Linked DNA regions of Canis lupus familiaris. The protein of the gene in region 1 purifies or fractionates together with the protein of each later gene. This does not show direct contact. Links are inferred from orthologs where the notes say so. Each region holds a gene or a part of one and is shown in the gene's direction. Other genes may lie near its edges.

The links.
Region 2: the proteins of LSM1 (region 1) and PATL1 purify together in Homo sapiens (co-immunoprecipitation; 3 studies listed by BioGRID and IntAct, with this or other methods). This does not show direct contact. The link is inferred for Canis lupus familiaris from reciprocal best matches to the Homo sapiens genes LSM1 and PATL1.

The regions. Positions count from the first base shown.
Region 1 is NC_049237.1:28,039,877-28,045,148, forward strand, and holds the start of LSM1 (U6 snRNA-associated Sm-like protein LSm1), read left to right. Parts: upstream 1-2,082; 5' UTR 2,083-2,170; coding exon of another isoform or gene 2,171-2,173; 5' UTR 2,174-2,465; coding exon 2,466-2,511; exon of another isoform or gene 2,512-3,090; intron 3,091-5,272. Other genes in the region: BAG4 (BAG family molecular chaperone regulator 4), read right to left, coding at 1,638-1,907. UniProt on the Homo sapiens protein: Plays a role in the degradation of histone mRNAs, the only eukaryotic mRNAs that are not polyadenylated. Probably also part of an LSm subunits-containing complex involved in the general process of mRNA degradation.
Region 2 is NC_049239.1:37,567,153-37,570,771, forward strand, and holds part of PATL1 (protein PAT1 homolog 1), read left to right. Parts: intron 1-1,498; coding exon 1,499-1,654; intron 1,655-3,496; coding exon 3,497-3,588; intron 3,589-3,619. UniProt on the Homo sapiens protein: RNA-binding protein involved in deadenylation-dependent decapping of mRNAs, leading to the degradation of mRNAs. Acts as a scaffold protein that connects deadenylation and decapping machinery.

The DNA.
Region 1 (5,272 bases):
ATCAGTACTTATTTCCTTTCTATGGCTAAATAATTTCCTCTCAAATGAAATTTATCATATTTTATCTATTCATCAGCTGATGGCCATTTGGGTTATTTCCACTTTTTGGCTATTCTGAATAATGTTGCCATGAGCATGCTTGATGTTCTTAAAAACATGCAAGTCTTTATGTAGACATGTTTTCAGTTCTCCTGGGTACATATCTAAAAGCAAACTTGCTGAGTAATATACTAACTCTATGCTTAACGTTCTGAGGAACTGCCAAGCTACTTTCCAAAGCAATGAACCATTTTATATCCCTACCAGCAATATATGGGCATTTCACTACTACATTTTCAACCCATGAAGATGTTCTAATTACTGAATGGAAAGAGAGGTGTGCTCCCCTCAACCACATAATAATTCACTGCTAAAAATACTTAATTAACAAAAGAGAAGTATATTTCCCACAGGAACACAAGGAGTAAAATGTTATAAGTCCGACTGTAGAGGTTTCCCCTGCTATCTGAAAATAGAACATTCCTATGAAATCTTCTGTAAAGCCAAAATGGCATAAAGGGGGGGGGGGAAGCAATTACCATTAATTTTTATGAAAAATGTTTCAGCATTCCCAGGCTCCTCAAATAACCTTTCTTAGGCTTTTCTGATACCTTAGGACATATCTTGCCAACAAACGCACAAAATAAATGGAGATAAAGCCCAGAGGCTCATAGACACAGTTCAGAGTAATGGCAGTGTGATGCTGAGAAGCTGAGTGTAGTTCCCAGGGAAGGAGATTGGCGGTGCCACTCTTACTGCCCAGTTGCGCACTGCCTCTACTACTGCTTGCTGCAAAACAAACACTGAAGCTATTCTCACTTTTCAGCTTCTTTCCTAAAAGCCAAACTCCTCTCCAGATTCCTTGCAGTTAGTAAAAACAGGCACTAATGTAGGTCCTTCCTAAAAAACCAAGTGGCAATAAAGTGAACCTTCAAAAACCCAGGGAGACCTCTACTGCCCAAGTGAGTTAACCTCTCAGGGGCCAACTATTAAATCATAAAAGAGAGAGGTTGTAATGGCATTTACGTCGCAACCGCAACGTAACTTAACAATCCAAGTAAAGGTGCTTTCCAACATTGATTACTGGTGAGTTAACCCCGGACAAAGCGTTAGGGGCAAAGGGCTAAATGCCCGATCCCTCCTCCTCCTGCATGCAGGGTTCTTTCCCGTCGGGAGGGGTTGCTGAGTGGCAGCGGGGGCTGCAGCCACCTCCCTTCTCGGGAAGAGCCGGCCATATGAGCCACGCAGGATAAATTGTTAGAGCTCCAAAAGCTTTCCAGCCCAACGTCAACCCAAGGCGAGAGATTCCGCACCTTGCTACTCGGCTTATCAAGTCAGCGGAGGATCTTTCTTCTTCTTCTTTTTTTTTTTTAATGGTAGCAGACACATTTATTATGGTCGAAGAAGGAGACGCAGAGAACACAAGCATATCCCTCCAGCCACAAACCCCGTCTGTCTCTCCAACGCACCCCCCATAAGCAAAATAAACATGAAACCCAATCCATTACGAACTCCAGAGGCTTATCAACCCCGGCGGCCCTCACCCTCCAAAGACTCCCCTTATCGAACCCCCCTGGGACAGATGGCCCGAAGCTTACCTGGTGGCTTCCTCCAGCTCGACCGCTCTCTGACCAGGCGCCTGCAGAGGCGTAGTAGCCATCCCCTCCTCCGCCTTCTCCCGGCCAGGTGGTCTCAGCAGGGCCGCCCCCGCGCACCCGCCAGGAAATGGGAGGCTGGGGAGGTTCAGGGCGAGGAGGATACGAGGGCGGAGGCGGGTGCATGGGCACGTCTCCCCCGCCCGGCCCGTAGTAGCGGCCATACGAAGGACCGTCGCTGGGGCCGTAGCCCGAGCGCCTCAAGGCCGACATGGGCTCTAATGCCCCGCAGCGCTTCCCGCCCCCCACGGCCAGCCCATGGCGCAAGCGCCCGCCGACGAGAGGAACTGGAGAGCAGGGAGAGGGGTCGGCCGACAGCAGCCAATCCTGGCTCGGGCCCGCCCCTTCGGCGGCGAGTCCCGAGAGTCGTGGGACGGAGGTCCGTGCCTCGGGGGAGGCGGGGGGCGGCTGTCTGGGAAGCTGGAGGACGAGCTGCAGCCCTGCGTTTCTTAAAAGGGAGACTACGTTTTCCCTACCATCTAGTCAATCTAGCTTCCTCTTCCCCTTTTACCGGGGGCGGGGAATGGGTGTCCCGGGACCGCGCCAGTCCCGCCTCTTCCGGAGGACGGGCACGTGATACCGGAAGTGGGTGGGAATAATATGGAGGCGTTTCCGGCAGGCCCCGGCTTCTGAAAGCCGGGGCGGACGTGCTGCTCCTGGTCCGGGTTCCTGTCCCGGTCCCGCCGAGGCGGCGACTGCGGTCAGAAAGAAGGAGGTGTTGGACGCACTGGCCCGCCGCCGCTATACTCTGCAGCCTTATCTCAGCTCAAAATGAACTATATGCCCGGTACCGCCAGCCTCATAGAGGACATCGACAGTGAGTAGCTCATCTCCTCTGCGTGAAGTCGGGTGAGATCCTTCCTCCCGGGCGGACACCTCTTCAGGGGGAGCTCGTAGAAGGAGTCTGGGGCGGGGGGAGTGTTTTTAGCACGCTTCTGGCTGTTCGGCGTTGACATGCTCCACGTGAGTGAAGAGCCTCAGGCACTCCATTTGTCCACCTCCTAGCCGCCTGCCTCTCTCCTGCGTCTCGCAGCCTCCACCAGCCCGTGGGCCGATAAGCCACAAGCTGTAGAATTCACTCCTGCTTTGGAGGGACGCGGCTGCCAAGACCCAGACGCCAGAGTTGCCCCTCCCCACGTCCACTCTTTCCCACCTGCAATATATATCGAAGTACCAGCTTGTTACTGGTAGACGAATGAGAGTAGAGAAAGGATTCGTTAAGAAACGAACGTTTTAAAAGATAGCAGCGGTTGGACTTAATTGGCAGTAAACGCAGGTTTTATGCTGTGTAGCCATTTGCAATATCCTTTTACCGTCAGGTTCTTCAGCACTTTCAGACAAAGGTATTGACTTTTCTGGAAAGGCTGAATCACTTCAAACTTATTTTTCTGTTCGACGGTTTTCTCTTACTTGTACTAAAAAGACCTCCCTTTTCTCCCCATCGTTGTTCTAAAGAAGAGTTCGGTCCTGCGCAAAAGAAAGACTCCTCTCTGTCCCTTTCTAAGCTCTCTTCTGTGAATTACTCCTCAAGCAACATTTTCTAATCCTTTAAAATCCTGTGGTCTGTCTCATTAACTTATAATTGCTGCAAAAGTGGTTTACACAGTTCCAAACAAGTTACAACAATCACGGTTATTATGTATGCAAATTTAAGAAGTGAGTCCCTGGGGCGCCTGCCTGCCTCTGTCAGTAGAGCAGGTGACTCTTGGTCTCAGAGTTGTGAGGTCAGCCCCACTTTGGGTTACTTAGAGAGTACTTCAAAATACAATTTTTAAAAAAATAATAAAATGTGAGTCTGTGATCATACTCTCTTCGTTGTCTGAAATCATTCTTTAAGTCCAAATTAGTGGGGCGCCTGGATGGCTCAATCCGTTAGGTGTTTGCCTTTGGCTCAGGTCATGATCCCAGAGTTCTGGGATCCAGCCCCACATGGGGCTCTCTGCTCAGCGGAGCCTGCTGCTCCTCTCCCTCTGCCTGCTGTTCCCCCCTGCTTGTGCTCTCTTTCTCAGTTAAATAAATAAATAAAATCTTTAAAAACAAATCAGTAAATAAATCCAAATTAGTGATTTTGCTATTGAAAGAAAATGTAGTGTGAATTGGACTGTATTTGTATATAAATAACAATTGCACAAATCCACCTGTAATATGTAATGAAAAATTCAATTTTAGTTGTCTGTGGATGCCCTTTTGCCCCCACCTCTCATTTTATTTTATTTCATTTTATTTTATTTTATTTTATTTTATTTTATTTTATTTATTTTTTTAAAGATTTTATTTATTTATTCATAGAAACACAGAGAGAGAATGAGAGGCAGAGACACAGGCAGAGGGAGAAGCAGGCTCCATGCAGAGAGCCTGACGTGGGACTTGAGGCCTGACGTGGGACTCCAGGATCACGCCCTGGGCTGCAGGCGGCCCTAAACCGCTGTGCCACCGGGGCTGCCCACCTCTCATTTTATGTATCTGAATTATATGAAGCCCCTAATAAATCCTGCTGTTCTACTAAAAATAATTTTTGTTCTCAAACCCTCTAACGCCTTCTTTGTAGACTCCAAGCCCCCTCCTTTACTGAAAAGTTTGAAACCATTCCTTATGTACCCTTCGCTGTCCCCCCAATGACACACAATTTCCTCCTTTCTCCTCAGTCTTTCTGCATATGCACCCATCCTCTCATCTGAGTAGGAGGTATTCCTTTTCAGTCTGTGGTCTTTTATTATTCTTTCTTCCCCTATTTCTTCCATTAATGCCCTTTTTCTCTCGTATCTTCTCTCTCTCCCTGGATCCTTCCATTCATGTATATTCTTATTCTTGTCTGTCCATCTCATACTTTTTTTTTTCCACTTATGTCTCCTCATCAAACTCCCATCCCTTTTTCATATCTTTACCCCTTAACATTTTTTTAAACATTTTATTTAAAATTTTTTTAATTTATTCATGAGAGACACAGGCAGAGGGAGAAGCAGGCTCCATGCAGGGAGCCTTACATGGGACTCGATCCCGGGACCCCACGATCACACCCTGGGCCTAAGGCAGGTGCTAAACCGCTGAGCCACCCAGGGATCCCCCTACCCCTTAACATTTTGAATCCTCTCCATTTTGATTCTACTTCCTGACCACCTGCAGTAGACCACCTCCATTATACCTGCAATCTGATTTTTGTTATCATCACACTGAAGCTGCATTCTTAAAAGGCCAAAATCTGATGCATTCTTCTGGGTTCTTCCCTCTCCTCTGTAATATTGTGATACTAATACCACTGGGTTCTTAATTCTTTTTGTTTGTTTGTTTGTTTGTTTGTTTGTTTTCTCCAGCACTGGTACTTGCTAATTTTCTCACTCCTCCAACTCTTAACTGTTCCCTAAAATAGGTGGCCCCTTAGGTTCTATCTTTGGTCTGCCTTTTTTTTTGTTTTTTTGTTTGTTTGTTTTTGTTTTTTAAGATTTGTTTACTTATTTTAGGGGGTGGGAAGAGGGAGAGAGAAGCCCAAGCAGACTCCCCTCTGAGCATGAAACTCAGTCCCAGGAACCTGAGATCATGACCTGAGCTGAATTCAAGAGCCAGCTGCTCAACCAACTGAA
Region 2 (3,619 bases), on another chromosome or scaffold:
TCCCATCCAGTGCCCCCCTCAGTGCCCGTCACCCAGTCACCCTAACCTCCCTCACCTACCCCCCTCCTTCCACTACCCCTTGTTCGTTTCCCAGACTTAGGAGTCTCTCATGTTCGGTCACCCTCACTAATATTTCCCACTCGGTTCCCCTCCTTTCCCCTATATTCCCTTTCATTATTTCTTTTTTTTTTTTTTTCTTAAAAGATTTTATTTATTCATGAGAGACACAAAAAGAGGGACAGAGACGTAGGCAGAGGGAGAAGCAGGCTCCATGCAAGGAGCCCGATGTGGGACTCAATCCCGGGACCCCAGGATCACACCCTGGGCCAAAGGCAGACGCTCAAGCGCAAAGCCACCCAGGCGTCCCTTTCACTATTTAATTCCCAGGGAATTTCACCCTTTCACTATTTCTTATATTCCCCATATGAGTGAAACCATATGATGTTTGTCCTTCTCCGATTGACTTACTTCACTCAGCATAATAATCCTTCAGTTCCATCCACGTACATTGAAGCAAATGGTGGGTATTTATTTCTGATGGCTGAGTAATATTCCATAGTACATATATGAATGTTGATGATTTAATTGTTGAAGCTGAGTGATGGGCACACAGATTTCATCGTACTCTTTACACTTTTATGTATGATTAAAACTGCTTTTGTTGTTAAAGCATTGTGTACTCAGAGTAGTAGGTAACAGAAAGTCCACTCTCCATCTTGAATGCCGTCACTTTTTATACATGGGCAGTGAGTGCTAGAAGCACCCTGGTTCCTCTCCTGTGTTAGAACCTGGTTCTGTTGACCTCTGCCACCTGGGCCTTGTGGCTAAAAGAACTGAATGACTCACAGGCCAGAATTCAACAGCCTTGGATTCTGGGTCTCTTCTAGCTATGGAACTCTCAGCACTGAGCTTCTGCTCGCTTGGCCTGGCTTGTCTAATCTGAAAAATTAGATTATCATTTCTCTATCTTCCTGTTGAGCTTTATAAAGATCAGACAAGATCTAATTAAATCTGAAAACACTTCTGGATAGTTCCACGGCACTCAGAACTTATGTGTCTTAGAGTCCTCCTCATGGTATATTGAATTTGCCGGTTTATTTGTGACTCCCCACGCAACCTTAGATGCCTGCAGGTCTGTCCTGTTTACCATTTCACAGGGGGCCCCGGTGCCTGGCACATGGTAGGCATGGAAGTGTTTGTGGAATGGGTTAAAGTACCAATGTGTTACCATGAGTCATGCTGTTTGAGAAGTGATTTTACACCCTTGGTGGATACGAATCCTGTTTCCTGTGCAAATTGAGCTTTAAAATTTGTCCATAGACATCTCAGAACCCACTGTTGAGACTCTGGTGGTACCTGCTAGACATGTCAGCCCTTTTGTGGTAAATCTGCCTGAGGCTGTCCAAGTGCTGCTGAGCACTCTCCCGTCCGCGCCTGCTGACACAGGCTCATGAAGCCATAGCTGCCAGGATGTAACACTTTTCTTTATTTTTCATAGGTGCTGCCATGCTTACTGAATCCCTTCTCTCTGCTCCTGTATCACCTTCCGTCAGTGACTGTCACCAGCCTTCTGCAACAGCTCATGAACCTACCTCAGAGCGCAGCTGCACCAGCACCCTCCAACCCTCACCTCGCTGCTGTGCTCCAGAACAAGGTGCTCCTGTCCTTCTAGATTTCAGTTACACATGTTGGTGCTGCTTTCAGGGGTGCCTGAGTGGCTCCATAGGTTATGCAGCCAACTCTGGGTTTCAGCTCAGGTCGTGATCTCAGGGTTGTGAGATCGAGCCCCGTGTCAGGTTCTGCACTCACATGGTCTGCCGCAGTCCCCATCCTCTGCCCCACGCACACTCTCTCGCTCTTTCTCTATCTCTAAAATAAATCAATCTTAGAAGCTTCTTTCAGTCAGGAGTTATGTTAAGCTCCTAGTGTCAACAAAATAGGATTTTCTGTATCTCACATAGAGTAGCTTGGGCACAGTGTCCACCTGGCATCAGGGGTGCAGGCCCCCCAGGTTTCCTGCTCTGCAGCCTAAGCAGTGGCTGCCACGCTCAGGACCACTCCAGCTCCACTGTGTCAGGAAGGTGCGTGCAGAGAGCTGGCTGCCTTGCTGGCACCTTTTCCAGGAGTTCTGACCAGCGACTTCTACTTAATCTCAGTGGCCAGGGTTTCCTCACTTGCCACATGGAACTGCAGAGAAGGCTGGGAAACCTCTTAGTTCACACTGTTGTGATCTCAGGTAAAATCCTAATTCGAACACGAGGAAGAAAACACATCAGGCTCCCAGGGGGAGTGTAACACAGAAGAGGAGACATGAACTTTCTGGACAGCTTTCTGTTTCCTACCCACGCTAGGTTTGTGACGCTGAGCACAGTTTCACTTCACGGCTGTACGGGGAGGTGACGATTCAGAGCAGTCCTGTTGCTCTGTTGCTCCGATGAGCTCAGCGCTGTGATGGTTCAGTGTGCTGCCTTTGTCCCGGTGGGCATGTGTGCAAGCACAGTGGAATGGGGAGTGTCGAGGCCCTTTCCCCCCCGGCATCTGGAACCCTGTCAGGGCAGGACTCCAGGGTGGCAGGTACAGCAGGGGCTGGGAGGTAACAGGCTGTGGGCCTCCCATGGTGCGTGGTCTCTGAGCTTTAGTATCGATAAGGGCAGCAGAAAACCATGTGGTCAGACAGGAGATGGTTCATGTATCCCAGTGTTGTTCTCTGACGGTGACCTGAGGGTTCTCTGGGAGGCGAGCTCGGGAACCGGGGTTCCCTTCAGACCCCTGTCTCTGTGATTCCATATATGTTATTTCCTGCCCCTTGTTCCTGTTCGTATTCCACTCTGTGCCCCTTGACCATGCGTGTCCCACCGATACTGCCTACTGAATCGGGCATATCTTCAGTCTCTGCGGCAGGTTGTTAAATCTTAACCGTCCCAGACACGTGATGTATCGGAGTCCTTCTCTGCCTCTGTTGGCCCAGCAGGTGTGTCCTTTGTTCAGGAAACTTTCTCAGGAGACTCAAGGAAAGCTTTTCATACCCTCATCATTTCAGTGACCTCTCTGTTTACATTTTCCAACTGGTCTTCACATCTTTTGTCTTTATTCAAAATATCTTCATCTATTAAATGTTTTTTTTCTTTTTCTGTGAACTTTTAGTTTTCTGTATCAGAGTTTGACTTTCTTTTTAAATCCATTTGTTTTAGTAAAAGAAACACTAAGTCCCATGTTATCTGTGGCAGAGAAAAATTACCTTTTCATCTGACTTTGGGGTGGGGAAGCAGGGAGGATGCTTGGCCCTTTCGTTGATGGTGCCGTCACTGCTCTGCTGAAGTGGAGGCAGGAGGAAGACGCAGCGTCCCAGCTCACGGCTGCCCCAGTCTGCCAATCCCACAGCACAGCGGTAGGGCCACCTTGATGCAGTGCTGCTCCGGGTCTGATGCTGGGACCCTGTCCGTGGTGCTGGAGGATTGGGTGCGGTGCTGAGTGGGATTCCCTCTGTCTCCTGTAGTTTGGCCTGTCACTGCTCCTCGTCGTCCTGAGCCGTGGGGAAGACCTGCAGAGTTCAGACCCTGCCACAGAATCAACACAGAACAACCAGTGGTCAGTCCAGGCTGCATTTCTTCCTTCACAT